Linked DNA regions of Tribolium castaneum. The protein of the gene in region 1 interacts with the protein of each later gene in a biochemical or structural test. Links are inferred from orthologs where the notes say so. Each region holds a gene or a part of one and is shown on either strand. Other genes may lie near its edges.

What was found.
Region 2: the proteins of Cam (region 1) and trpl interact in a test that uses a peptide from one of them, tested with the Drosophila melanogaster proteins (2 studies listed by BioGRID). The link is inferred for Tribolium castaneum from reciprocal best matches to the Drosophila melanogaster genes Cam and trpl.
Region 3: the proteins of Cam (region 1) and GTP-binding protein Rit1 interact in a test that uses a peptide from one of them, tested with the Drosophila melanogaster proteins (2 studies listed by BioGRID, with this or other methods). The link is inferred for Tribolium castaneum from reciprocal best matches to the Drosophila melanogaster genes Cam and Ric.
Region 4: the proteins of Cam (region 1) and jar form a complex in vitro, tested with the Drosophila melanogaster proteins (2 studies listed by BioGRID). The link is inferred for Tribolium castaneum from reciprocal best matches to the Drosophila melanogaster genes Cam and jar.
Region 5: the proteins of Cam (region 1) and ninaC interact in a test that uses a peptide from one of them, tested with the Drosophila melanogaster proteins (2 studies listed by BioGRID, with this or other methods). The link is inferred for Tribolium castaneum from reciprocal best matches to the Drosophila melanogaster genes Cam and ninaC.

What each region holds. Positions count from the first base shown.
Region 1 is NC_087397.1:1,842,482-1,848,822, reverse strand, and holds Cam (calmodulin), read left to right. Parts: upstream 1-1,611; 5' UTR 1,612-1,768; coding exon 1,769-1,771; intron 1,772-2,022; coding exon 2,023-2,197; intron 2,198-3,559; coding exon 3,560-3,802; intron 3,803-4,481; coding exon 4,482-4,510; 3' UTR 4,511-5,182; downstream 5,183-6,341. Other genes in the region: uncharacterized protein LOC660922, read left to right, coding at 6,138-6,341. UniProt on the Drosophila melanogaster protein: Calmodulin mediates the control of a large number of enzymes, ion channels and other proteins by Ca(2+). Among the enzymes to be stimulated by the calmodulin-Ca(2+) complex are a number of protein kinases and phosphatases.
Region 2 is NC_087402.1:544,236-550,258, forward strand, and holds the start of trpl (transient-receptor-potential-like protein), read left to right. Parts: upstream 1-1,932; 5' UTR 1,933-2,079; coding exon 2,080-2,091; intron 2,092-2,135; coding exon 2,136-2,260; intron 2,261-2,321; coding exon 2,322-2,559; intron 2,560-2,609; coding exon 2,610-2,752; intron 2,753-2,799; coding exon 2,800-2,980; intron 2,981-3,820; coding exon 3,821-4,012; intron 4,013-4,058; coding exon 4,059-4,293; intron 4,294-4,341; coding exon 4,342-4,750; intron 4,751-4,889; coding exon 4,890-5,147; intron 5,148-5,260; coding exon 5,261-5,983; intron 5,984-6,023. Other genes in the region: trp (transient receptor potential protein), read right to left, coding at 864-1,102, 1,158-1,308, 1,612-1,709. UniProt on the Drosophila melanogaster protein: A light-sensitive calcium channel that is required for inositide-mediated Ca(2+) entry in the retina during phospholipase C (PLC)-mediated phototransduction. Required for vision in the dark and in dim light. Binds calmodulin.
Region 3 is NC_087396.1:9,919,085-9,925,340, forward strand, and holds the start of GTP-binding protein Rit1, read right to left. Parts: upstream 4,015-6,256; 5' UTR 3,861-4,014; coding exon 3,674-3,860; intron 3,622-3,673; coding exon 3,565-3,621; intron 627-3,564; coding exon 109-626; 3' UTR 1-108.
Region 4 is NC_087397.1:7,630,296-7,636,282, forward strand, and holds the start of jar (myosin heavy chain 95F), read left to right. Parts: upstream 1-2,578; 5' UTR 2,579-2,824; intron 2,825-2,956; exon of another isoform or gene 2,957-3,013; intron 3,014-5,952; 5' UTR 5,953-5,960; coding exon 5,961-5,987. Other genes in the region: uncharacterized protein hlk, read left to right, coding at 1-319, 383-487, 670-1,308, 1,357-1,680, 1,728-2,098. UniProt on the Drosophila melanogaster protein: Myosin is a protein that binds to actin and has ATPase activity that is activated by actin. Together CLIP-190 and jar may coordinate the interaction between the actin and microtubule cytoskeleton.
Region 5 is NC_087398.1:9,792,558-9,797,988, reverse strand, and holds the end of ninaC (neither inactivation nor afterpotential protein C), read left to right. Parts: intron 1-84; coding exon 85-473; intron 474-522; coding exon 523-1,041; intron 1,042-1,090; coding exon 1,091-2,178; intron 2,179-2,222; coding exon 2,223-2,291; intron 2,292-2,337; coding exon 2,338-2,522; intron 2,523-2,579; coding exon 2,580-2,779; intron 2,780-2,831; coding exon 2,832-3,466; coding exon of another isoform or gene 3,467-3,486; exon of another isoform or gene 3,487-3,522; coding exon 3,523-3,626; 3' UTR 3,627-3,744; downstream 3,745-5,431. Other genes in the region: integrin beta-PS, read right to left, coding at 3,862-4,091, 4,141-5,185, 5,232-5,431. UniProt on the Drosophila melanogaster protein: Required for photoreceptor cell function. The ninaC proteins combines putative serine/threonine-protein kinase and myosin activities. Essential for the expression and stability of the rtp protein in the photoreceptors.

The DNA.
Region 1 (6,341 bases):
CAAGTTTCCGATCTGGGTTTTAAGGTTGTTGCTAGTTTGCGTAATTAAAGGTAGAAACGAGTGGTGGCGCTACGACTCACCTAGTCATAATATTTACTGAGGCAATACTTAAAATTCCGATTGGGGAACAATATACCATAAAAATTGTTTTAAATTGTAAAAATTACTCAACTGATGGAAAGAGATATTATATCAGATTAAAACAATAATATTGTTTTATATTTTAATTATACATTTTTATTATGATTTCTTTTCACTTTCCGTTTTTAAATCCCTTCACACGCAATCGTGACGCTGAAACAGATATTTTTGGTCGCAAGGTTACTGATAATCTTATCAATTTAAAGATCCCGAAGTGCTCTACAGATTCCTGCACAAATATTTTCCTTATGGTAAAACTACCGACAAGAGTAAACATCTCATAAAACACGAAATTGCATTATCCTGAACTTTAATATTAACCTTGATGAAATTTTTAATAACAGACTTCCGACAATAAAACTGTTTTTCAAGCATTTGCATTACGATCTTTTAGAACTCCCTTCAAATTGTTATGGGCATGTGACGTCACCGACCAATATTGCCAGTTTGGAGTATTAAACTGACGATAATGTAAATCTTTTTAGCAACGACTCAATTTTTTTCTAACAATTTTTATTAAAAAAAAAGAAAATGCGGAAAAAATTTCAGTTAATCTATGTGTCATTGTTTTACTAAACACATCTAAAAAAGTTGGCAATATTTATTTTGCATAAAGTGACTCATGGTACAGTTCCAGTCAGAAATTATGTCACGCGACTGTTACGCACGGGTGAAATTTACTGAACCAATATCAAGGTCACGAAAAATTTCAAATTGTGGATCAATTATGTAGAAATTTTAACTGAATAAAAAACTTCTAGTTATTAATTTGTTTTATTATTCCCATCACGCCTTCTGCATTCAAATTTTCAAAACCCTTGCTATTTATCGTGGTTCAAGTATCTCAAGACGCAATAAATACTTATTGATCCAACGCCTTGTTTCCACACCACCCTGTATATGCACCTTCCCGAATGCATTAATTGAATTAGACGCCAAGTTGCGCAGCGTGCTATGGCTGTCAATTTGCGAAAAAAAAGGCGATCGTTTTCGGACCCTCACACACCTCATGCCCCAAAGCCCTTCGCCGAACTGCTTCCCGGCCCCAATCAGGGGGCGTTTCCTTTGTTTTTCGTCGGTGCGCCACTGCCGCACCCGAGCAGCGTCGCCCCGAATCCGACGCATCACGCCGTTACTTGAACCACCGCGTGCACGGCTTGCTTGACGCATTGCAGGTACATATCGACCAATGGGAACGCAGCTCCGTACGAAAGTACGTTGTAAACAAGCCGCGCCCGACATTCAAACGTGGCGGACTCTCCGCGCGCAAAACTAGATCCGGGGCTTTGCGGCTTTGGGGGGCTCAATTTTGAAAAAGCGTCTTTGTGGGGGCTTGTGGCGGGTTCTCGCGAGGTTTGGGGGGGTTTTTGTGGCGCTGGGGGCCCGCGGGGGGCCTCGGTGGGGGCGGGCTGGGCGTAGGAATATTTACTCGTTGGTGTCGTAGCCGCACTATTGCGCTTTGGCGGTAGTGCTTTCGCAGCCCCTCCACCCTCCCATCCTAAACAAAACGAGAAAAGACACAGACGCAGACAGTTGGCTGGTGCACTTTGACGCGAAAAGTCGCAAGTGACAGTTGTTTTCGTGGCAAAGAATTGTTTAGAGTGCCCTTTTTACCGGAAATACAGCCATGGTAAGTGGGCCGGAGGCGGCCGAAGGGCGGCTTTGGGGCGCGGGGCTGCGGATGGTCGCGCTTCGCGCGGATATTTCTGGTTTGTGATGCTTTCGCAAATAGCTGTCAGTTGCCGTAAACCGGTAAATTGGTTTACCGCAATGCGGACAAATTCAATTTCGACGGCTATTTTCGACGGTATTGCTAAATTTCGACGCTGGGGACTTGTATCGATCTGTTGCTTGGGGTGTTTACTTTCTGATGGCTTGTAGGCTGACCAACTCACCGAGGAGCAGATCGCCGAGTTCAAAGAGGCTTTTTCGCTGTTCGACAAGGACGGCGATGGCACGATCACTACCAAAGAATTAGGAACTGTTATGAGATCACTAGGACAAAATCCCACGGAGGCAGAACTCCAGGATATGATCAATGAAGTAGATGCCGATGGTAAGATCAACTCGACTTCGATAAACAAACGACTGTTTTGACAGGGCTTTTTTCTATTGCCAACTTAACCGTGTGACCGTTAGGACCATCTGTTGCCAGTTTGATTATTTGCCTTCAACGTTTGTTTTATTAAGAAAAACGGAATGATGTAATTATTGCCAGATAAAACTTTATCGCTACATACTATTCAAAGTGTAACAGTTTGATCGGTTATTTTTTACCAACGTTGATAAACCGATAATGGACTGCATTGTTCTCAAATAGACTATACAATCGGTGATAAAATCGCAACTCTCGATAATCCCAATTAAAAATTCTTCATAGAAACAAACTTATCTTATCGCAAATACGTCATCGATATTTGGCTGTGACGGTTATTAATTAAATAGCAAACCCCAATCAAAAGTTTTTTCATCATAAAGTTGGTAACGAATTCAAAAAGTACGTTAATGACTAAACTTTGAGTAAGATGAGTAACTTATGTCCACAGCATGAGTAATTTCACCTTTCGGAAAAACACCTATGCATTGATTAGAACAATTTATCATTAAAAAAAACGTAGATAATTTCGACGAAAAGTAAAGAAATCGGTTCTTAAAAATATCGAATAAAACATCACTTTAATAATTTGACCCAGTGTTGGTTATAGGCCGCTGCTAGACACTAGAAAAATCGCCCATCTGTATGTAGATCAGCGTCGGTCGAATCGCATTAGCCATGAAATTACCCCGTGGCACCCAAGATAATTTGCGAAACAGCATTCATTTGTTATTCAATGACAGTTCGCACTCCTAAGCCAACGATGATGGTCCATAAAGGCTAAGATTACGCTATGAATTTTAATAGAGCGGACTAACTGTGTGAAGGAAAATGAAAATGCACAAGTATTGAATATTTCAGACGTGGATATTGTTTTAAAAAAGATAACGTTTGACTGAGTCGAGTTTGAACGGGAGAAAACCAATTTTTTCATGTTGCGGTTTTGTTTATCAAATAGTGACGGAAATTCCTGTTTTCTTAATTTATAACAATGAAGGCGTGAATGTTGACACGGATGCGTAGTGGCGCCGCCACTATACGAAGGGCTATAAATTTTTATAAATTGATTATTACTGCGCTCCCTGGAGACGCAAAGGTCGCAACTATTTGGAGAATTCTGGTGTGTTTTTCGGAGGATGTTATTTTCGTATTTATTGCTGTGGCAGCGCAATTTCGGGCCGTGTTCTTTGCAGTTTTAGTACCTTTTTAATTATCCTAAACTATCGAAGGATAAGTAAATTAGATTATTTTCCGTAATGCGATTCCAAAAATAACAATTCGATGTGGGATTTTTCTGGGTGACACAGTTTTTTGGGTGTTTAGGTAATGGTACAATCGATTTTCCTGAGTTCCTAACGATGATGGCCCGTAAAATGAAGGACACCGATAGTGAAGAAGAAATTCGCGAGGCATTCCGAGTATTCGACAAAGACGGCAACGGTTTCATTTCGGCAGCCGAATTGCGTCACGTGATGACAAACCTCGGTGAGAAGTTAACCGATGAAGAAGTCGATGAAATGATCCGAGAAGCTGATATAGACGGCGACGGTCAGGTCAATTACGAAGGTAATGTTTTTTCGGGTGTTTTGTGTGTTGTACATTTATCATTTTTGTCGGGTATAGTGTAGTAGGCTTGGGACGATCACGGGTCTTTGATTTTCGTTTGGGTTTTATGTGAATGTAGCTCTTTTTTTTTTGGTTTTATTTCGATATGTGTTCTAGGCCAGGAAGGTATGACTGGTAGTGTTCCTTTGCAGATTTCCGAGCTCTAGCTCTCATAGTTTTCAGTCGGTACTCAGCCACACATGCTTCGAGCTGGTCAGTTGTAGTCTTGCTTTGGGAATGTGCTTAGTGGCATGTTATTTTGTTACTGTTCTACCTATCACTGTCTTGAGCACTCTTTGACGATGTGTCTATTCGCTTTTTATGGTTAGAGTTGTTTTTGATTACCAACAGTGAAGCACATTTCCAAAAAACTTTGACTGCATCTTCATTATTGTCGTAGATACAATTAACAAAAACTAATTAAAACAATAAAAAAGTAATGTGCGCATTACGATTTCAGAAGTTTCTTGGCTAATACGAATGAAAATTATTCGTACCAGTAATAACGTTTCACTTATATCGATGTAGTGCACCCAACACGATTCTTTATTACGTTGGGATTATGTTGTGTTAGGTTTATTTTTTATTACTGAGGATCTTTTTAATTAATCTTGGTTTTTCTTTTCCTTTTTGATTACAGAGTTCGTTACTATGATGACTTCAAAATGAAGAGTAGAGCAGTTTGCATTTCAGCTTTCCATTGTTTCATCCCGGCCCATTATCTACAATTTCAACATCTTGAACTTTTTGCTTGGCTGCCGGGCCACTAAAGTGAAAAACTTAATCGTTATTTGATTTACAAGACAACTTTAATTAATAATAAATATTTATAAATTAATATAATTGTGTAAATTTTTGTAATATATTTGTTTGGAAGGTGCAACACCAAGCATCCTCTATACTGTTTCAACTTCTGTGCTACATGTCTAGTTGAGTCGTTCTCGTTATTCACAAAGTATGAAATTGTACTTATAAGTCGTTCTTTCGGTGTTAGTTTAGGGGATACACAGACTTAGAATACACTCAGAGTTTCATGTTTCATACTTTGTGATCCAAAAAAACATACATCTGTGCACTTAACTATAGTATGTATCCCCTTTGTTTTTATTATAAATGAGTCATTTGTTCAGTTGTCATCATCCCCAGATCTACTGTACTGTAGGTTTTACATTTTCAATAGGTAGGATTTTCCAGTGTATAACCAAATAGACACTTTTTTCGTCAGCCTTGTCATTTTTTATTGAACTGTTTTATTTATTTTATTTATAGATAAGGACTATCATCGGTTACAATGTGAAATTATTAGATGTTTAAATTTGAAATAAATGTGACTAAAAATTATTTATCTAGTGATTGTTTATCATCCCGTTATTAGATTATTACGGCTACATTACTATTACGATTTTTTATGTTAATACTTTTTCCTTATTTTAAAAATAAACAATTTAAAGCGATTTTCTGTTCTTGCCCAACAAACACCATAAAAAAGCAACGAACTGCCTTGACCGGCACTATCACATTTAATTAGCACTGAAAATGAGCGAGATAAAAATACAATATTAGCAAAATAGTGAGTGGTAAAAAAAAGAAAAAATTATAATAAACAATTTGCAAAAACGTAAATATTTTACCCGTTTAGCCGATCATATTGTAACAATATGACAAAAATTGCTTTAAAGGACTGTAGTTACGCTATCTGCCGGTAAGCCAAAAGAAAAACATCCTTAAAGAATAAAAATATGCATAAAAGAATAATTTAATCCAGCGTCCTTGAATGTTGGCCCATGATAAACGTTGAAAATGAATAATGACTATAATGAGGCGTTTTTTCATATTTTACTGCCCGATATGTAGACACGGACCGGCCAAGTTTTAATTAACTCTTGTTTCGCTTGATGAAAAATTCTCCCCTCGGCAAATCTATTGCCACCCCTCCTCACCCCTTAGTGATTAGCAGTAGGTCATCAGGTGCGCCACCACTGACCTACCGCGTGTGAGTAATAATTCCGCGCACCTTTTATAAATAGATGGATTCGTCCGAGTTGTTTCGCCGGATTCAAGTCTTCAGAAGTAGCGTCGTTAGCGTCGCGACGCCGTGACCGTGGATGCTACATCTCTAAAAATAGTGTCAGGTGTCGGCAATTACGTTCTTTACCTTAATGAGGCCTTATTTACGAATTGCCCGAATCAATTTGCCAAGGTAATATCGATTGATGATTTCATTTCGTTTGTAAAACATTGCGCCTGCCCTGCACATGTCGCTACATTTCAGACTGTTGTAAGAACCACCGTCACCATGAATCTGATGTTCCGGAAAAACTTCCGGGAGCAAAAAAGCGGCGTCGCGAGCAAAACTTCGAAAGCTTGTGCCAACAGACATGCGAGCAAGAGGGCCAGTCGGGAGCAGGGGTACACCCCCATGGAGGAGCACCACTATCGGACACATCTGTTCTTCAACCCGTCGAGATGTAGTTACGCTCAGGCGGCTGAAGACATGGAC
Region 2 (6,023 bases), on another chromosome or scaffold:
ATTCATAACTAAAAAACTATTCGGAATTTGGTAATTTTCTCGATGCCAATCGATTCCCCGGATCATTTTGCATAGATATGGATCAAAATAGTTCCACATTTTAAAATAGTTTAACCGTAAATGAGAAAATAAAAAAATTAAAAAAAAGTTAACACCCCCCCCTTAAAATCGGTCAATTTTAAAAATGTCTCAAAGTCAAATAAAACCTATTCTATCTTATAGATTTTGATGTGCTCTTTCTGATGGAAAAAAGCGTTTTCTCCTAGTTCTTTTAGTTTGGCCGTAATCGGCGTATGAAAATTGAATTTTTTTGCGAGATATCGCCTTGAGTCCTATGCCATTTTGTAGAGTTTTTTATTCCGGTTGTCCACGATTTTTCCGTTTTTCGATAACTCTAATAGTTTGGCCGTAATTGGCGGTTGAAAATTGAAAAAAAGTGAAAATAGAAACATTTTTTGCGTTTTTCTCGGAAACTGTAAGACTTAGAGCAACGAGCAAAAAACCATCTGATAGCGCTTAATTTTATTTATTTTTTCGACCAAACCCGGAGCCCCTCCGGGCAACGGTTCTGGCTACAGAAGCGATCAAAGTTTTTCACTAAAAAAATTCATAAAAAAAAAACTAAAAGTCGTAGAGCATTGCGGTTGCAGTTTTTTTAAATCACTAAAGCAAAGTTTTATGCACTTGAAAACGGCTCCTCGGTTTAAACTTGTTCTTGTACAATCTCTCATTTTGCGCAAAACAGACTAAGAGAATTACCAAAAAAAACACCAAATTAAGTCGAAATTAAGCACATTTTTCTAGTCAAAAAATCAGAAATTTCGACCTAAATAGTGTAATTTTTCATTTTTCAATTTAATTACTTGACATCGTGAGGCAATGGAAGAGTGGCTCCTCTATCCAGCAACAGCTTAATAATCTCGTAATTATTTTTATGCCCGGCTAAGACCAGAGGTGTAATATCAGGTGTAAAAGTGGCCGAACACCGTTCGACTTTTTCCCAACTGTACAAATCGCCAACTTGATGCGTCCTCTCCTCCCAATCTAAAAGCATTTCAACCGCTTCCACAAATTCCTCATTTATTGCATGAAGCAATCCATCCTGCAATTAAAATTTCGCAGCACTAAAAATAAAACTTATTATTACTTGCGATTACTTTAACGTCAATCTGCGACTCAAGGAGAAGCTTCACCAGCTCGATATTTCCATTCTCAATTGCTATAACGAACGCTGAGCGATTTAGAGCATCGATGCAGTTTATATCAAACTCTTGATCGCCCTCACCACCACCATATTCCTCAATTATCCTATTATTTTTTTCGCAATTAATTTCTTGTTTATTTTTAAAAGCAAAAAACTTAGAAAATGGAATACAAAAACAAAATTAAAAAACTCTAAAACAGCAAAGAAAAAACAAAAAAAATGGAAAACTGAAATTATAATTAATTAAAAGACCATCAACCATCTTTATTGTCATGTATACTACATTTTTTCAATAAGTAATTTAATAGAAAAAAATTAGTGTTAAAATAATATTTTATCTACCCTTGTTAAAGTGCAATTTTACCCACTCAAAACAACTGACAATGAAATATGCTATAAAAAATTACCTGCGAACTGTAGCACAATCACCCCTTTCGGCATGAAGCAAAAACGATTTTTCCACCTGACTTAACGCCCTTTCATTATTACAATCAGATCCAAACATTTTCAATCACTTGTCGCATCGAGAATACTTTCAAGTTTGTATTGACCCTCACTATTAATTGAATTAAAATGCGGGACAAAGCCAAGAGGATTACTCCCAGGAGCGTTATATAATAGGAGTTTTGAGTTGGAAAAAATCACCAAAAATTCCTTATTGGCGCAATCAATTTTCTTAGTTGCTTTATTGCATTTAAACCAATAGTAATTTTACCAAAAAGTCGGTTAGTGTAATGCACTCGTTTGGTGTAATCTAATTTAATAAAGACAATAATGTGATTAGACCATAGTTATAAGCGCTTACAAGATTATTACTAACTTATTACTCGCCCTATTTTTCTAGAGAGTAATGTGATCGCCTAAATTTGTGCAAAATGGGGGATTCGGTAAGTTTCATTAAATTTTCCCCTAATTAATTGTCTTGTGATAGGTTGATGTTGAGGCTAAAGTCACACGCAAGACCCTAATCATGCCCAACTTGCCCAAGTCACTTTCAATTGAAGAAAAAAAATATTTATTGGCCATTGAACGTGGAGACATGGCAAATGTTCGCCGGTAATGGAATAAATAATAACCACCAACACAATTTAATAAGTAACACGATTATTTCTTCCAGAATGTTGCAAAAAGCCCACCGGAAAAAATCGTTTGATATTAATTGTGTGGATAGTCTAGGACGTGGTGCTTTATCGATTGCCATCGACCAAGAGCATCTCGAAATGGTGGAACTCCTGGTGATCATGGGAGTGGAAACTAGAGATGCTCTTCTGCATGCTATTCACGTAGAGTTTGTGGAAGCTGTTGAGCTTTTGTTGGAACACGAGGAGTTGATCCACAAAGATGGGGAGCCTTATGTAAGTTTTTGTTAACTTTATTTTGCTTCATTTGAGCAAATATTTTGCAGAGTTGGCAAAAAGTTGACATCAACACTGCCATGTTCACACCTGATATCACTCCCTTGACTTTGGCCGCCCATCGAAATAATTACGAAATTTTGAAAATTTTGTTAGACAGAGGAGCGACTATTCCGATGCCACATGATATCAAGTACGACCATAAATAAAAAAATAAATAAAAATAACTAAAAATCGTAGATGTGGATGTGATGAATGTATCAAAGAATCTGAAGAGGATTATTTACGACACTCGTTAGCGAGACTAAACGAGTACAAAGCTCTGGCAAGTCCGTCTTTGATTGCACTTTCGTCAAGTGATCCGATTTTAACAGCGTTTCAATTGTCGTGGGAATTGAGGAATCTGGCGTTTGCTGAACCGGTAAGTAGATAGACAATTTTTATTCATTCATCATGCAATAACTCCGGAACTATAAAACTTAGACTAAAAGTTTTAGAATAAAAAAATTCATAACTCAAAAACTAAAAGAGCAATGCGGTTTGTTCCATTGAATTCAGCGGCTCATTTTCTGTATAAAACCAACTTTCAACGAGATCTGACATTTTAAAATTTTTTGCAAAAAATTAAAATAGGCAATTTCTATAATGAAAAATTTTATTCAATAAAAAAATTCATAACTCAAAAACTAAAAGTCGTAGAGCTATGCGGTTTGTTCCAATGAATTCAGCGGCTCATTTTCTGTATTATACCAACTTTTCACGAGATTTAAAATTTTGAATTTTTTTGCTTAAAATTTCCTGAGTTATACACTTACCTTCATGGTGAAAAAAAATTTTTTAACTCGTTCTATCATTCTTTTATGGACTTTTATGAGCCTGTACATCCCTCTAGAGTTGTTAAAAGTCCACAAAAAGTCCATATGTTCGATTTTTTGATGTTTGATTTTTTCAATTTTCGTCGCAATTTTTGTCGATTTTGGGTACCCGGAACATTTGTCGAGCAATAGCTCCGGAACTATCAGAGATAACCCCATGAAGTGTATTATCGTTGGAAAGCTCTTTAGATTATCTATTTTTTTCAAAAAAGATTATTGTTCTCCGACTTATAGTTTTCGAGCAAATTGCTGATAAATGCAAAAATTGGTAAAATTTTAAAAAATTCATAACTAAGAAACTATTCGGAATTTGGTAATTTTCTCGATGCCAATCGATTCCCCGGATCATTTTACACAGTTCCACTTTATCAAATGCTTAATTCCAGGAATGTAAATCCGAATACATGGACCTGCGCCGCCAATGCCAACAATTCGCTGTCGACCTCCTCCACCAAACTCGCAGCTCCCAAGAACTAGCGTTCATCCTCAACCACGACCCAGCCGCCCCACCTTACGAAGAAGGCGAACACATGAAACTTGCACGCCTCGAACTCGCCATTCAATACAAACAAAAAAAAGTATTCCTCAATTAAACATCACTCAAAAATTCTAACAAAAAAAAAGTTCGTAGCCCATCCAAACATCCAACAACTCTTAGCCGCCATCTGGTACGAAGGCGTTCCCGGATTTCGGCGCAAATCCTCAACCCAAAAAATCATGATCATTGTCAAAGTGGCCGTTTTATTCCCCTTCTATTGCATGCTATACATGATAACACCCGGAACGAAAACCGGGAAACTAATGAGAAAACCCTTCATGAAATTCTTAATTCATGCCTCGTCCTATTTGTTCTTTTTGTGTCAGTTTTTACGTTCATCATTGGCCAAAAATTTAAACTTTGTTTCAGTTTTGTTAATCCTGGTGTCTCAACGAGCCGAAGACCAAATCATCGAATTGTTCGGAACCGAAAGCATGAAACAAAACCTACAGGAAAAGTACCGAAAACAAAGGGGAAACCCCCCAACTATCCTAGAATATGTTGTCTTGATTTATGTTATTGGGTTCATTTTCGAGGAAACTCACGAGATTTATGTGGAAGGAATGAAATCGTATTTGCGTAACTTGTGGAATTTTATTGATTTTACGCGAAATTTTCTTTATACGGCCGTTTTTTTGTTACGTGTGGCTGCCTATATCCAGCAAACTTCCGAAATTGAAAATGACCCTTTTACGGCATATATCAGGCGAGAGGAGTGGCAAGCTTTCGATCCGCAATTGATTGCTGAGGGGCTTTTCGCAGCCGCAAATATTTTCAGGTAATTGTGAAAAAAAACTACTGCGTTGAGAATTTTTTTGCAAAAAATGAAGCTTCTAGGTTTCTTTTTATATGTGTTGAAAATAATTCTTTATTATAATAAGAAGAGGTAAAAAAATGTTTTTTTAATTTTTTTTCAGTGCCTTAAAACTGGTCCATTTGTTCTCCATCAACCCACATTTGGGGCCGTTGCAAATATCGCTTGGAAGAATGGTCATAGACATTGTAAAATTCTTCTTTATTTACACTCTGGTGCTGTTTGCTTTTGCCTGCGGTTTGAACCAACTCTTGTGGTACTTTTCGGATTTGGAAAAGAAGAAATGTTACCATTTACCAAGTGGTGAAGCCGATTTTGATAATGCGGCCGATTCGTGCATGAAGTGGCGCCGTTTCGCTAAGTAATTTTTTTATTTATTTTTTCCTTTAAAAAAATCGCAAAAGTCGACGTAATTTGATAGTTCCTGCCCTTGTTTCTAATAAATAAAATTAAAGAAATTAATTGCTATTTTAGCGTTTTTGAGTCGTCCCAGTCGCTTTTCTGGGCCAGCTTCGGTATGGTGGACCTCGCCAGTTTTGAGTTAACCGGAATCAAAACTTACACGAGATTTTGGGGCCTTTTAATGTTCGGTTCTTACTCGGTGATCAATGTCATCGTTTTATTGAACCTTCTAATAGCCATGATGTCAAACTCGTATGCAATGATCGACGAACATTCAGACACCGAATGGAAATTTGCACGAACCAAACTATGGATGAGCTATTTCGAAGAAAGCGCTACTTTACCGTCACCCTTCAACATCTTCCCCAAACCCAAACACTTGTTCAAACTTTTGGGCTTGCGCAAGAAAGACAAAATACGAAAAATGTCAACGAAGCGAAGAAATCGCGAGGAAAAAGAACGCGATTACAAATATACTGCCGTTATGCGGGCTTTAGTTTGGCGTTATGTCTCAGCAATGCACCGAAAGCTGGAAGAAAACGCTGTGACTGAAGACGATGTTAATGAACTAAAGAGCGACATTTCGTCGTTTCGTTATGAATTATTGGAGGTGTTGCAGAAAAATGGCATGGATATTTCTTCGGCTGAAATGAAGGAAAAGGCCGTTTTGGGCCGAAAAATGAAAGTTTGGGAACGAAGACTGATGAAGGACTTTAAAGTTGCGCCGGTTGTTACGGAAGAAGAGGAAGAATTCATCTACCAACCCCCTCCAGAAGGCGAAAACTCCCTAGCCAAGTATTTAACACTTGATCAAGTTTAAAATTTGTAAATGTTT
Region 3 (6,256 bases), on another chromosome or scaffold:
TATACAAGAAGCAAGAATCGGTCACCTCAGTGTTTCTAAACCAAATTAAGAAATAAACATGATTGTCTGAGGTGTCAGTCAACCAAACAGTAAAAACCTTAACCAAAGTTATGAAGTGTAGCTCGTGTGTCTTTTTCTTTTAAAAACTAGCGCGAAAATACTCCTCAACCGCCACCATTTGCTGTGTCTGTGCGGTTTTCGTTCGTTAACAGGCAACCCAAGTTTTTCTCTTTCCTTATTTCTAATCTCTCTAACTAACGTATGAAACGCATCATCGACAAATGTTCGCAAAGCCGCCGAAGTTTCGTAAAACGGACAAGCGAATTGTCGCGCCAACGTCCTACCTTCCTCCGTTGTAACTTTTCTCTGCAATTGAAGATCGAATTTGTTACCGACTAGAACTAGAGGTGTGTCTTCGGAAGCTCGCACTTTCTGGATGAGTTTTCGGTATTCGAGCGCTTCTTGGAAGCTGTGTCTGTCCGTTACGCTGTAGCAAATCAGGAAGCCCTCGCCACAGCGCATGTATTGGTCACGCATTGCTGTGAACTCAACCTGGCCGGCAGTGTCCAAAATGTCCAAAAGGGCCGCTTCGCCATCGATCACCGCCTGCTTTTGGTACGAATCCTCTGGAAATAACACGAATTGCATTTACATTGTCTACTTTGAAGCACTCTAATAAATAAAACTCTAATAAAATAAAAATCCCGGCACCGTCATGAACATTGAAAGTCACGTAACCAACGATCAGGATTTGTCTTCAATCTCGGCTTTCTGGACATCCGACGTGGTAAACAACAATATCAATTTTATGTATTTAAATAGTTTATTTTTACTGAAATGTGTACCGTGTAATCGTGTCTTTGCTAAAGTAGGTACTGTGACTAGAGATGTTATATTTTAATTTTTTTTGTACTGAATTTAGGGCGTAAATAAATTTTGGATCGTAATCCAAGTTCAGGACGAGATTAATGTTTGGCCTGTTACATTATGTCGCACATATGTAAATAATATTATTTACATAAAAACATGTGTTTGCCCACCGGTTGATATTGTTGTTTGTCGCGCCGGATGTGCAGAAAGCCGAGGTTGAAAACAAGTCCTGGTCGATGGTGACGTCACGTTCAATCTTCATGACGCTGCCGGGATTGGAGTGAATACTGGTGCCAGTTTAGACACAGACAATTTGTTTTAAACTGACTTGAACTGATGGTTCAAGTTTTAATTTTTCGGAGGGCAACTGCTCTGCCCTTCATTGGTAATACTTATCACATAGTAGTTCTAACCGTGTGCAAGCTAATCGAAAATTATTGTGCAAAACAGAAAACATTTGTTAAAAACTGATAAAATATCTACCGCAATATCTGTCACTGTTACGGATTACCATAGTTTAGAATACGAAACATACATACGACATACAGCGTTAGGTAAAACTATAGAACCAAGCGTTTTGTGCCTAAACAATGCACCATACGAAAAAACTAATTAAGTACATCATCAACTACTTTAAAAATGATCATTTTTCAAGAATTTTTTTTCGAAAGTTTTCGAGTTATTCAAAAAAACTTTTTTTTCAAATGGCACCCTACAACGGCAGTTTTTTGATTAAAGATTATGCTTTAAAAATTACTTCCAATTCAATAATTTTGTTTTTTAACCAGTGTTTTTTTTAAATAAATTATTAAAGTTACGTTCCGAGCTCATTACGACGGTTTTCCGAATTTGACCGAAGAGGTGGCAGCATCCAGGGACGTTTTTATTCGAGTAATTTGATTCCTCAATATTTTCGCAAATATGGACATCCATGGATACAACCACTTCGGCCAAATTCGAAAAACCTTCGTAACAAGCTCGGAATGCAACTTTAATAATTTATTTTCAAAGAACCACTGGTATAAAGACAATATTAAAAGTAATCTCTAGAGCATGGTCTTTTACCAAAAAAATCGTCGTGGTGGGGTGTCATTTGTAAAAAAAAAAATAAATTTAATGACTCTAAAACTAAAAGGAATTTCGAAAAATTTTATTATTAAAAAACATCATCACATTTTTAAAGTACTTGATGATAAACTAATTGTTTTTTTCGTAAGGCACTTAGTTTAGACACAAAACGTTTGGTTCCATACTTTTGCCCAACGCCCCCATCTTCGGTAGTTCCATTAATGTCGTTAGGAAGCGCAGTTGTTCAATACTAAAACTTTTAGAGCAACGAATTTAAAAAAATGGTTGTATTTGAATAATGATTAGTAAAAGCAAACAATAACTATAATACCAAGTCCGCATATGAGATCTTCATACTTGATTGGAAGTATCAAATTCGTTCGTTAGTGGAGAAAAATTCGACATTTTTTGGTTAGCATAGCAACGTGGTTTCAGAACGGTTACACAAAAAAGATACAAAAAACGTGGATTAAAAATTGGTTATCTCGATGGTTTCATGTGAATTTTTTTCGAGACATCCCGGGCTCGTGGAAAAATCTAATATTTTATTTGAAAAATAAATAAATAAATCAATTGGAGGAATGCAGTATAAAATTGATTTATCTGGTTTTGTTAGTAGTAACACGTGGACGTGAGTTTTTTCCAAATTAGAAGCTCTTTAATTTTTAACCCATTAAAGTTTTGTCCATCCGATGTTGCTACTGCCTCTTTTCCTTTTTTTTTAAATCTTACTTCCACATAAATCATATAGTCCGGGAGTTCGTGATAAAAAAATTGTAATGGTTTTCTCTAAGCTCTAAATTTGAAAATAGATATTTTTTAATAACTTTACTTACTAACGTGAGCTTTCTAGCAGATGGGACACTATAGGTATAGCAACCCTTATTTTTTATACTTCTCCATCAGGAATTAATGAAATTTTTACAGTAGTCTCTAAGAGTAACGTAAACATTGTTTTTTTTTAATTATTGTTTCTGAATAGAAATACCTTTAAAGTTTAACCGCCAGTCATCACAGAATCTTCTCTTCAAAAATCTTTAAGTATTAACTATTAACGCTAATTATTTTCAAAAGATCTCCAAATCTAACAACCTTAATATAATTTGATACTTAAAATAGAACTACCAAAATAACAAACCGAATATAGGTTTGGTAACAGTGCATATTATTTAAAACGGAAAATAGGTGATTACGCAATAGCTAAACTTAAAAATGTCTAGAACAAATTAGAATTTAAAAGTTTGAATTTGAAGTTTGTAATTGCTTCCAGCCGAACTCCTTTAATCACCAAAAACCTGAAAAACTGTCAAATTTTTGATCATTTTTCACAAAATAAAAATTTCTACTTCTTTCTATTCTAAATTTTGTCTTGAACTTCGCACAAACAATGCGAGAACTCTGTCGGTGTAATAATCGTTTTCATGTATCATTTAAGACAAAGATGTTTTTAAAATTGCCAATGGCTTAAGATGTACAACGTAAAAGATGCTTAAAATAAAAAACACGTGTTACAATCTCTTATCCCTCATCGCCACTGCGCGGAGTGATCTGTGACGAGGGTGTTTGTAATTGTAACAGTTGTTTTTTCGCATACTCGCCGCCCAGCTCGCAGTGCTTGTTATTTACCTATGGTCGGGTCGTGATAGTCCAAGAAACTGTGGTTTACGAATTGGAGAGTGACAGCTACAACACACCTCATGAATGAATGTGTGAGAAAAGAGGGGAATTTTCTCACCAGATTTTCCCACGCCTCCGTCTCCCAAGACGACTATTTTATAAACTCGAAGTCCTCCGCTAGTTTTGTCTTGGGTGTTGCTGGCACCGGCCGTAGGCCTGTCTTCAACTTCTGAACCTTTACCTGATCTGTTTGATTCTTGACGGGATAGTTTACCTTTTTTCTTATGACTAGCTTCACCTGCCATTGTTTTTGGGTTTTTAAGTGGAGTTACCGCAAAGTGACACTATTTTTATTTATAAATACTGGTTTATTTCAAACATTTAATGGTATTTGCCACCCCCAGAACCTCCCCGCAGTTCATTTTGAGGATGACATTTTAGACATGTCGAGCGGAAGCGGCATCTAGCAGCGTCTGAGAAAACATCGTGGCGCAGTTTCCTGTTTTTTAAAAAATACAATTTTTAATGCCTGTCTACCAATATAAAATAATTATTTATTTACCGAGTTTGAGTGTAAATCGAACGCTTTTTTGCCGAGTAGATTTTTAAAGTTGGGTGATAATGAGAGGTTTATCTATCATCCACGAAAGGTGAAATAAAATGAACCGATTTACACGAAAACGCGGCCTATACATTTTATTCTTCGAATTAGACACAATAAGACTTAAAAGTGCTTTAAATTTGTTAACAATAATCTGACGTTTCGTATTGAGAAATGCCAAACAAACTTTCTTACACAGGAGCACCCTTCATAAGAGAAAAACCGCAAATTTTGTGTTGAAGATTAAAAACTTTTGTTTTTCTTAGAGTTCCTTTATTGGAACTCTAGTTTTTCTTAGCTCAAAACGTGTTGCTGGGCATTAGTTTAACACAGAATTCTTTTCTTTTACAGAAACTCTCAATTTGTGCTTTATCTTTCACTCCCAAAAATTCAAATGCGCTGTTGCAGTTCTACTATAAACTGAAATGGGAAATAGCAGAATTTTGCAACAGCATTTTGCATTATTTTGAATGGAACAAACTGCCGAAAGTGGTTAATTAATTTCCTTGTTTTAAATGGAAAGCTACGTTTTTTACTGTGTTTTTAGATTACTCGGTTTATTTTCAATGAGTTTTCATCGGCTTTCTTTATACCTAAATTTACTTGAATTGCATCTTTCAATTCAAAAATCGATAACTTTGCCATTTTTTTAAATTTTGAAATCTATTTTGGCTTATTTACATGGGAAAGTTTAGATAATCTCTTTGGTGTTTTCAAATTTCTAAAAAAGCTGGCTGCCCCCAAATTTTTTAGATTAAGTCCGAAACTTCAAACACCTATAACTCAAAATTTTTAAATAACATGCCACAATTTTTATTTTAATAAATGGTAGAGAATTTAATTCTGCATCGATCTGTACTTTAACTGTAATAACATAAAGTATTATTTTTTTAAATGATTGTCATAGGCGGCTGTGATATTTATGAAAAACTTTTTTTTTCTGATTTGATATGTCTATTTGTGTAATACATTATTTTTAGATATTAAAAAAAACATAACATTTCGCTTTTCCTTTATAGTAGGCCATGAAAAAATTTTGGATTTTCAATTAAAACTATGAAAACTAAATTACCCAACAAGTATTTACAATTTAATAATTTTTAAACACTAATAACATAACAACTAAACAGCATAATAAATTATAATTTGATTAAATTTTTGTATTTAATGAAAATTATTTGTTTTTAGATTTATAATGACAAGCTTATATTGTCATTCTATTTTCTAATTAAACATGAAATGTCGGAAAAACAACAATCTTATTAATTGTATGATTGGCTATCAATAAAATTTTATTTTACAAAAAAATGTCAGTCCAAACACCAAAATTAAATCCCATTTGCGGTAAAAAAATACATAACATTATCAACGTCACCTCAATTATACTTTACTAAATCATAAAAAAGTGTGATCAAATGATAGTGACACATCAAATAACATAGGTTATTTTGATAATTTCCCATTTTTTACTTAATAACCGTTCACAAAATTTTATGTGAAATAATTTTTACCATAGCCAACTACTTTCAAATATTTTAAATATACTTTTTATAAAAAGTATATAAAAATATCAAACTGTAATTATATTGTTTTCAGATCAGAAAAAAATAAGCTTTTCGAAAATGTCATAGCCAACTATGATTTATATTTAAAAAAATAAAACTTTGTTATTATAGCTAAACGAATAATTAAAAAAAACACTGATAACTTTATTAAATTCTCTGTAAAAAAGTGCCCGTATTATGTCTTTGTTTCAAATGTAAATCTTTTGTAATAAGGAAGATATGATTTTTTTTAGATTTCGCTAAAATGTCAACTTTTGTCGAAAACAAAAAATTATAGCGAGAGGCGGTTTTAACCAAAATTATTATCCCAAAAAACGGACCCGAGAATGTGTCACTCGTTTTTCTCTAAACGTCTTAGTTTCGGATTTCCCCTATTCGGAAATCCAAAATGCAACGCCCTGTACAGTAAAAATTTTTCAAGTGTAAAAGTGATAAAAACATAGTTTATTAGTTTTTCCAAACGTTTAATGAAACAACAAATAGTACAATTTGACCATACAAATTAAGTCATCTAGGTATCACATTTAAATTTCCC
Region 4 (5,987 bases), about 5.8 Mb from region 1:
GACTGCAAACAGTGTCCGAAAGTCCTCGCCGAAGTGGAGCACATCGACGACGAAGCCGACGCTGCTGGAATCAATTTCGTCAAAATCGACGACAAGCAAATGGCGAGACAATTCGGAGTGTTTGCTCTCCCAGCTATTCTCTTCTTCAAACTAGGGTCAAAAGAACCGGTCATCTATGCCGGGGATTTGTACGACGAGCAGCAGATTTTGCAGTGGCTGTTGACACAGCAAGACCCGTCAGGTGATGTGATTGAGGCGACTGAAGGCAATGAGTTGTTACGACTGATTGAGGAAGAAGACGCGTTGGCTGTTTATTTCTGTAAGTAGTCGCGTGTTCAAAAATTTTGCTTGGCTAACCTATGGTGGCTAAAACAATGTGCAGGGAACAAGACTCTGTGTGATTTGTGCAGTGCACAGGAACAGCAACATGGGAGGAAGGCGCACAAAGTTAGGACCACTTCGGACGAGGAAGAAGATGCGAAAGACGGTACTTTTTACCCGTAGTGTTGTATTATGCCTTTTCCTTGAACAGGGACACTTTTCCTACAAGTTTTTCTTTCGACGATCAACGACTAGAGCTATTTAACACTACACGTACATTTAACACCTTTTAGCTTGTTTGTAGTAGATTTTCCCCAAACTTTTTGCTAATTTCTTGTGTCAATATAGATAACGATGAGTGTGAACAATGTGCCCACATTTTGGAAGAGTTGGAGAATATCGACGACGATTGCGAACGCCACGGAATTCTCTTCGTCAAGACGCAGGATTTGAAAATTGCCGAACAGTACGGAGCGACCGACTTCCCAGTTTTGATGTATTTCGAAAGTGGGGTTGGGGGCGTATTTGAGGGCGACCTGGAAGAGGAGGAGGAAGTCCTCCAATGGCTTATCCAGCAACGAACCGAAGACCGAATCGAGTTAATTACAAGAGTCATGTTGGAAAACCTAGTCCAAGACACACAATACTTGGCTGTCTACTTCTACAAGCAGAATTGCCACATTTGTGAGCAGATTTTGGAAGATTTGGAAAAAATCGACGATGAGTGTGATGTCTACGGAATTCATTTGGTCCGGATTCAAGACCCGCAATTAGCGAAACGCTACAGTATCAAAACATTCCCTGCACTTGTCTATTTCAGAAACGGCAATCCGTTGCTGTTTGAAGGCGACCTCCAGAACGAAGACTCAGTGCTCGAATGGCTAATAGACGACGACAACCGCGAGCTTGCTGATGAGATCGAATCAGTCAATGAAAGAATGTTAACAAGACTGCTCAACGAGTCTCCATTTCTCGCAGTCTTCTTCTGTAAGCCGTGTTTTTGCCCCTTTTTGTTTACTGTCTTTTGGCTTGTAGACGATGAAGATTGTCCCGAATGCGACGAAATTCTGGAAAATTTGGAAGAAATCGACGGGGAAGCCGACATGTTCGGAATCGACTTTGTCAAAATATGCAGCGCTGAGGCCGCAGCTGAGCAAGGGTTGCACACGCTTCCCGCACTGATGTATTTCCGGAAGAAGACCCCGATGGTGTACGAAGGCGACTTGACCCAATCCGACAAAGTGCTCGACTGGCTGACCTCTCAAGACGTTTTCGAAATCAAAAATGAGATCGAAGAAGTGAACAAAAAAATGTTGGAGAAACTCTTGGAAGAGAACGAGTTCGTCACGGTGTTTTTCTGTTGGTAGTTTAGACAGTTTAAAGGCCACAATAACCAGCTGTTTCAGATGAAATTAATTCGGAAGAGAGCAAGGCAATTATGGAAAAGCTGGAGAATATTGACAGCGAGACGGACAACTTTGATATCACGTTTGTCAAGATGGCGGATCCGCGGTACGCCAGAAAATGGGGCGTGACGAATCTTCCCGCCATCGTGTACTTCCGAAGACGTTTCCCGAGCATATACCGCGGAGATATGCATTCCGAAGCTGATGTTTTGGAATGGTTGCGAAAGAATCGTTTCCGACAACCCGAACTGAACATTTTCATGTACGCGTTATTCGCCATTAGCATCGCTTTTGTCATTTACACAGCTTTTCTCCTCCAATGTTTCAAGACTCAACCGCAAGCTGTGGTCCCCCATCCCAAGCAGTCCTAAGTCTTGTATGAAAGTCGCGTGAAAGAAGTGTGGTCTTGAAGCATTATCAGCATCCTTGTATGAAGGGAACGTTAGATCAAGTCATTCTGGTTTAGTTTTTTATTTTTACTAATTGAATTCCCTTTGTTATAAGTTGTAATCCATTTTGTCATATCCTGGACCAAAGAAAACCATGATACATCACCACTGAAATGTTCATCTAGATAATTTAATTTGTGTACAGCGACTGTACAATCATTCCCAAGAGAATTTATGGACAGGAAAGTATAGATAAACGTATTAATATAGTTATCTACTTTTAGGTGAACATTGTAAATACTCTTGTAAATAAATAAATTAAGTTTACGTAAAACGATTTTTACTCAAGACATGATGACAAGTGTCACAAGTATCAAAATTTTTAGCAAATGTCTAAATCCCAGTCCAAATTCAAGCTTTGTGACCCCGCAAAAGCCTTAAAAGTGTGGTAAATCGCCCACCAATCGAAATCTCTTTGTATTACATTCGAACTCAAGCGCTTTCCATGTTGTTTCGCTGAGACGTGCGCACTCGGCGGACATTTTAATTCCCATTTAAAAATTCTTCGCTACTCGCGGTGTGTGGAACGGAAAGAGCAAACACAAACACAGTGCTGGGTCATATGTGCGCAAGGTGTTCGTCAAGGTGGTTTTATCGCAACTTTACGGTAGTTTGTTAATAAAACTAGGAGGATTTAGCGGAAAACAGGTAATACAATTTATTCTCTGATACTAGCGCTCGCTTAATTTTCAATTAAGGCAATTTCGGTTTGTCAAATTAAAAACCGTAGCTTTATCAGTGATAAGAGCACTTATTAAATTATTATAATCACAAGCCACGTTTCAGTTCACACAACACTATCACCTGTTATCAACGTATAAACCGTGCCTAAAATAGGTATGTCGAATTTCTTTTTTAAATTAGCGCTGTTACAGCCTGATTATTTCGTCGAAAATGCGAGATTCTGACGCTTTCTAGTAAGGGAAACAAAGCAAAGCTTCATTAGTTTATCGAATTTCAAAAAGGGGTACAGTTTGGCGCAATTCCGGTGACATTATTGTTGTATAACACTTCCGGTGACAAGATTACCGGAACTACACGTCTATAACATCCCCACGTTCATAAATAATGACCTTTCAAAAGTGAGGTTTCTACCTACGATAGACAACAATAGGGCGAGACCAGAATTCGAAATTCAACTCTTCAAAGAATCATACTTTATAACCGTGACATTTCAAGTGCTGGTGTTACAATTTGTTGTCTTTATTGTTCATTGTAATATGAGTCATTGAGTAATTATTGTTGCAAGAGTCTGCGAAAAGATCTGCAACAGTGTTATCGTTTCGTAACAGCGTTGCATTTTCACTTAAACTGTTTTGATTTTTTTCGATCGTATCTAATCTTGAGCAAACTTAAGATAACTGAATTTTTTCAAAAGAGCCTTCAAGGTTTTGAAGGGAATTCCAGCAGCATTGACTGAAGGTGAAGATATATATATTCAGCCTGATAGCTTTACTGGCTTAGTTCAGTGATCCCAAACCAACTGAAACGAGACTATCACGAAATGTTAAAAACTAGCACTTGACAATGAACTTAATAATTATTCTAATTTTTATGCTTCGACTAATTGAAGGAAGATGCATAGACGTGGCTCAATTTGCATTTAAATTATGCCCCATTTGCGTCGAAAGTGTGGAAAACTGAAGCTCTTAGTAACAGGAAGCGTTTATTTACAATTTCTTCTTAGAAAGCACATGTCGTACGGTTTGTCCCTCTGTTTATTCAATTAACATAATCAAAGTTGATGTAGCAAATAAATTACCGACGTAACATCTTGTTTAACAAATCATATTCAATTAGCGAGGGAGAAATTCGTCGAAATTTGTTGTTTTGTCAATCGAAAGTGTAGGCCTAGACCTTGACTATAAACACCGTATGATTAATTTTGAAGGCCTTGAACGGATGTTCCCATATTAGTGCGGTTTTGCTACAGTTGACTATTTCTCTAATCAAAAATTATTCTTCGTGACCAATCATCTGGTTGATTAATTTCCAGCAAAATTCGACTTTCGTATTGTTTTTGTTCGACAATAAAATAACGGAGCGAAAGATCAGTCATTGTAGTTACAATCAGGTCATTCTTTGAAAGTCTGTCAAGAAAAATAAGGAAGCAACAACGGTTACAGCGATTTTATGGTGAAAAGTAGCAACAGATTTGCATCGGTGAGATCTACAAACGACGTAAATTTAAAACGGATTGTAAAAAGTACATTAACTTATTCATTTCGAACTCATCCAGCGTGAATTTTCAAGAATGTGTAATTTGAAACTCCGTTAAACGAGATGAGCCAAGATTTAAAACAAAAAAAATACCAAAAATGTTCATTTTGCGCGAAAATTATTTGATTCACAGATATTTATAGTCTTGCATATCTGTAAGATGTTATCAGTGACAAGGCTTTATCAAAGTCTATCCACACATTTCAATAAAATTTAGTATTATCGATCGCTAATCAAAAACTGTACAACCTACCAACCAAAATTATTCTAGAAAAAAGGAAATTTTCACTTTCTTTTCTAAGTTTCTCTCTTAGAAACCAAAATATTTATTCGCGAATAAAATTTTACGCTACTTGACTGACTTAAAACAAACCATTGCATTTACAAATAGAGTCTCGTAAAACATATCAGTTGGAAAAAACAAACTAGATAACGTTTAATAACACTTAACATTGCCCCAATTTGACTCGATTTTTTTCGCTTCACAAATCCACCATCTGTTTGGTGTAAAAATTAAAACAGTTCTTTTACTACTTGTGACACCGTTTCAGCAAATTCCAATTTCTGAGAACCATATTCTGTTTTCAAAATTGCAGTAACAATTCTGTGAACGTTCACGTAACCTTGCCATTATCATGTTGCAACCGCAATTGGTTATAATTCTGGAAAAACACTTCCACTTTCTTAATCCAGCGGCCGAATAATCAATCAATCACAGTAATCTCAACAAATCATGTAATAAATTGTATTTTCACAAACTTCTCAATTATTGTTCTAAAAACCAAAGTTGTTCTCCGTTTGTGTTAATAACAAAAAATCTGGTAACTGCTAAAAGACATTAACAACTACAATGAATTTAAAAAATTGATGCTGATTTATGCCTAGTTAGTATCTGCCTTGATATTTGTTACCTAATCTAATTTAACCAAAAAAAATTGACTTTTTTAAAAATTTGTAAAATGCCTAAGAGATAAGATTTTAAAAGAATGTTCTACATTTTCCGACGTTTTTGAATGCCCCAGTTAATCTAATCATAATAAAACTTGCAATTTTTATCAAATTATCGTTTATTAATTTAATATATGTTTGCTTATAAGTAGCTGATATTAATCTAGACTGACGTACGACCCGTACGATAATCAATAAAGTTAAAAATTGAATAGATAAAACTTTACCCTTTCTTTAGTATTCCAGTTAGGTGTATTTTGGTTATAGAAAATTGTGTTAATTGAGTTCAAATTTCATATTATTTGACTTATCATTTTATTCTTTCATTAAAACTAAATTGGTTGTAGTTAGTTTCGTGGTTATAGATTTTTTCTCCCGTTACAACGTAAGAAGCAGTTGAACGTCTTCTTTAGTCGATTTCGACATAACGTCGCCTCATTCTAAATAATAAAGCCGCTTAAATTAAAACTTGAGGCAAATCTGCTCTTCTGTATCATCAAGTGGGTCACGAGTACCGTATCCCTGTATAACTGTACGTGGCATATGGTCTTTACTCAACAATTTTTACCGACACCGTTTCATCGGCATTGACAAAAACGTATTTTTAGAGTGAAACATGGACTCGGTTTGGGCTCGGGACCCT
Region 5 (5,431 bases), on another chromosome or scaffold:
TACATACAATTCGTAGTAAAATGTGTTGTCTATACAGCCGCAAGCAATATAATATTCTGAATTTATTTATTTATTTTTTTCAAGTTTCACCGCAAATACCAAATGAAATCACGCTCTGACAACGAGCCTCACATATTTGCCATCGCTGATAGTGCTTATCAGAACGCGCTTCACCACCACATTTCCCAGAAAATCGTTTTATCGGGAGAAAGTGGTTCTGGAAAAACGACGAATTTTTTCCACTTGCTAAATCATCTAATTTATCTCGGACAAAATGACAACATTAATCTCCAGAGAATCGTAAATGCAGTTAAATTAATTCATTCTCTAACACACGCTTTGACGCCAATCAATAATTATTCCACTAGATGCGTCTTTAAAGTTGATATTAAGTTCGGAAACACAGGGAAAGTCAGTGGTGCTATTTTCAACGTATTTCAATTAGAAAAATGGAGAGTTTCTTCAACTGATAGGTGGGTATGTTGCTATTGAAATTCGGGTACTGATCATAGGTTTTGATAGTGTGCAAGGTACATTTTATTTCTTATATTCTGTATATGAAGGATTAAAAATAAATAAAAAATTGGAGAAATATTTATTAAATTCCGATTTTGAATACAAATATTTGAAGAAATGTGAAGACACAAATGATGAAGTGAAAGTTGATTTAATTGACTTTAAACAGATGTTAAAATTTTTTGAAGACTTTGAGTTTAATGATTCCGAAATAGATACGATATTATCAATAACGTCTGCTATCCTAATTTTGGGTGAAATGTCTTTTGTGGAAGCCGATTTGGAGAGCGGAGATAAGGAATGCGTTGAAAAAATTGCTCAGTTACTACAAATTGATCCTTGCAAATTTCATTGGGCTTTAGCCAATTACTGTCTAATCAAGAAAGATGTTATAATTAGGAAAAAAAATACAGAAGACGAAGCAAAGAGTGTACGAGATGCGTTGGCTAATAATTTGTATTTAAGACTAGTTGATTACATTGTCAACACAATTAATAACAGATTAAGTGCGGGACGAAAAATATTGTAATTTATTCAAGCTTTTTTTTTGCTTTATAATTTATTGTTCTTCTAGTGGAGAAACATATTCAGTTCAAATCCTTGATTATTTTGGCTTTGAGTGTTTTAAAGAGAATTACTTGTCACAGCTTTTCGTCAATTGCTTCAATGAACAAATGCATTATTATTACACACAACGAAACTTTTATTGGGAATATTTGGACATGAAGGACGAAGATTTGAATTTTAATACTTCATCAAATTATTATGACAACAAATCGTGCCTGGATGAATTGTTGGGTAAACCCGAAGGTGTTTTCTCGATAATTGACGAAGTCTCTAAAATGAACCAGAATGAAAAACACGTTATCAATTTTATTGAAAACAGTGACTTGAAGTTTGTAAAAGTTGTGGGAAACTTAGATTTTGCAGTTGCTCATTATACGGGAACTGTAACTTACAAAGGATGCGATATATGTGAGAAAAACAGAGATTTCCTTCCGGCTGAAGTGATTGAAACTCTTCGTTTGTCCGACAATCCAACTGTAAAGTTACTTTTTACAAATAAACTAAATCGAACTGGAAATTTAATAGTTGACGCACCTGATAGGTCAAAATATAAATTTACTTCGAAGAAACTGACACATAATCAATATTCCCAAATTAAGCACTTAACCACGTCCCTGAGGAAATTTAAAGCACTTGGTGTGGAACTGCTGAAAGACTTGTCAAAAGGATGCACTCATTTTGTTCGTTGTGTAAGAACAGACCTGCATCAGGTTCCAAAAAATTTCGACTGCGGATTAGTTAAGCAACAAATACGGGCCCTAGAAGTGGTCGAAACTGCAAAATTGAGGCAAAACGGCTACTCCTATCGAACCTCTTTTCACGAGTTTTTAAGACGATATAAATTTCTTGCTTTCGATTTCAATGAAAACGTTGAAACTACTAAAGAAAACTGTCGGCTGCTTTTGATTCGTCTCGGAGTCGAAGGCTGGGATGTTGGAAAATCTAAAGTTTTTCTCAAGTATTACGTTGAAGAATATCTGACTAGACTATTTGAAACGCAAGTTAAGAAAATTATTAAAATACAGAGCATTTTAAGGAGGTTTCTGGCGAAGTGTTTGGTTACCAAGCACCTCCAAAACAAAGGAGAAAAATGCAGTATGTATCATTGGATAATTGAATAATTAAAAAAACCGTTTCAGTTCTAGGACATGTGCAGGCAGAGAAATACAGAATGACTGAAGAAGAAGCCGCGATCATAATACAGAAAGGTTTGTAAATACATTAAAACGCGCTTCTTCCACAACTGTTTAATAGCTTACAGAGAATCAACTGTAAAAAAGTCTTACCAAGACTTTGCAGAAGATTACAAAATTCTAGATGAAGAAACGTGTGGTTTTATTCGAAAATTTGCGCTCAAATGGAAAAATAATACAGTGTTTCGTATATTATTTCTTTATAAATCTGTAAGACATCAAGATTGTTTTAATTTTTCTCAACAGGTATCGAGTAGTATCTGTGATTGAAAGATAATAATAATTTTTTTCTTAAAATTGTAGGTTCATTTATATAACATTGGCATTTTTTACGAACTTGAAGAGCTTAATCAAGCAATTTCGTTAGACAATATCGACTCAAAAGCAAACATTTCTGTTTGGTTGGGAGAATATTCGGTAGCTGTACAAAAAATGCCTTTTCGTCTTGATGAAATACCTTTTTGTGATACCAGCGAAATGTCAAACTTTGTGTTGAATTACGAGTTAATTTTAATATGTAAGATTAATTAATCACCTGTTAACTTATTTTTTTAGGCTATTGGATGAAAAAAATGATTCATGGGATCTACCATATCGTTGGAGAAATTTGATTTCTTCGAAGTTTGACCAGGCGGTGCAAACTAAAATTCCCATTGCTTCACCATTTGCTCGAGATTCAATACAAGAAGAGGAAAATGTTAACCGTAAGAATACTAAAAACAAAACAGTAGACGACAATTTTTTACACAATAAGGAAATGTTAAAAAAAACTATGAAAGAAGAGAAGGAAACGAAAACTTTTTCCAAAAATGAAGAAAAAATTAATTTTAATTCAAAGCTAGCTAATGAAGATTTCGATTACATAAAATCACCGTTGACAAAAAAGCTCAAGAGAATAGATCCTGTAACAGAATTGAAGCAAATTGGGCAAAAAACTGCTTCAGAAAACGAACCACCTTTTAATTTTCAGGGGATGTTAAGAAAAACTAACTTCAAAAAAGAAGTCAAAATAGAGGATAATAATGTAAAAGTTTTACCATATTCTTTAAGGAAAACTGGAATAAATGGAGTAGAGGGTAAAACTTACGAAAGCGCCGAAGCCAGAAATAATCGTAATATAAACAATATTCAATATACTTGTGACAGGAAAAAGATAAAAATACACTTGGCACCGGGTGTTGTTTTAGAAGGTTTTGAAGTAGAAATTTAAGACTTTTTCGCTATTATATTCTGATTATATTTATAGTGCACACCAAAAGTCTAGGATCCAATATAATAATTTTTTTTGGCGATGTATTTATGAAAAAAATCAAATGCAAAAGCAAAAGGATTTTTTTGACGATTTTTTAAATTTTGTGTACCACACTTTTGATGCGCGTCAAATAAATTTGTTTCAATATTTATGTTAACCCTATGTAGATCTCAAATAAAAACATGTAAAATTGTAAACTTAAATGTTAAAAATAAACAAAATAAAAAAAAATAAATATTTATTTAATTTCAAGCAAATGTAGACAATATTAAAAATTTTTTTAAATCACAATATTGCTATTTTTTTGTATTTTTGGTAAAAGCAAAAAAGCATTCACTCAGATCTAGTTTTTGACAATTTGTATGTTCTATACACAGGATTTTTAAAAGTAGAAGTGGCTTGTCGATAAAGAGGATTGTCGTTTCGATGCCACTGCATTTTTTGCCTCTCATTTTCAAACTTTGCGTACTCTTGCCGGTCGTGAACGGTGGTGCAGACTTTCCAGGTAAGTAACAAAATCACTCCTGCTAATAAAACCGACCCAATAACACCCAAGATCCAAGCTACGATGAGAACTAAGTAAAAAACACAAGTATAACAAATACTACTTACCTAAAATATTAGGTGGCCCTCGACAAATTTTTTCCTTTTCAGCTGTGACTTTTAAATTTTTTTCGTTAACATATTCATATTGAAACGCAAAAGTGCAGTCGTTTTCGTCAACTAAAGTACACGTTTTAACCTGCTCGTCGTGACTGTTCTCCAACTTGTCGACAGCTTCGCTTTGGAAGAAAGTGCAATTGCTTTGACACTCTTCTTCGTTGAAAACCCCGCTTTTGTAAATCTGGCACTCAACACAAGGGCGCAATTCCTCGCACCTCTGGCCTTCGCAAGTTGGGCACTCGTCGCAGTACTTCCCCGAATATCTCACTTCCTCGTCGAAACACTCGCACTTGCCGCAGTTGCAGTTTCCATGTCCGTTGCAAACGAGATTGTTATCTGGCTTAACACAGCTGTTGTCGCTGTCTGGACACTCGCAGGCGTCTCCCGTCCATCCAGCTTGACACTTACAAATCCCCCCGCACTCGCAGGACCCTCGCTGCGAGCACAGCCTTCCATTCACCCTTTTGCAACTGTAATTGTCGCAGTCGCAATACTTGCCGAAGATTTTCTCGTCGGGATTGCTCCGCTGGTAGCACTGGCACTGGCCGCATCTGCAAAAACCCAAGCCGGAACAAATTCTTGTGTCGTTTTTTGAGGCCTTGCACAGAGAGACGTCGGCGGAATCCGAGGTTTTCTTGTTACACTCGCACGTTTTTCCAAAGAAGCCCGGATCGCAGTCGCAGACGCCACAGCGGAGCGCTCCGGAATTTGAGCACTTTTGCGGATCCAACGCCTGAGAGCTGCAATCACAGTCGCAGAGTACCTCCAAGTCGATGACAATGCTCTCGTCTAGTGCTTCGGGTTTAACGGTTATTACGTGCTTGTTTGAGCCTTTGGTGCACTGCAGTGGTTTGATTATGGCAGTGAAGTTAACGATTTCGCCAATGTGGATGTTTGTGCAGCCGTTTATCTTGGGGTGCGAACAAGTTGAAGTTATCTTAACTTCAATGTCGCTCGAACTGTTCGAAGAAATCGTCACGGAATCAACAATTTTCTACAAACATAAAATAAAATGACCAAAAGTACGATCTACTGCTTACATTATAATTGTCCAGTACTAGTTTAATGACGTTCTCCGACCGTTCGTCCAAAACTCCAATATTGGAATTTTCGATTGATTCGGACAGTTTTTTATAAACGTCCACAACCCGTTTCTTGTTAACAATTGCAAAAACAATATTTATGTTATTATCCTTAGCTACATGATTTATTTGCGACACCGATGGGTAGTCAAAAGCCA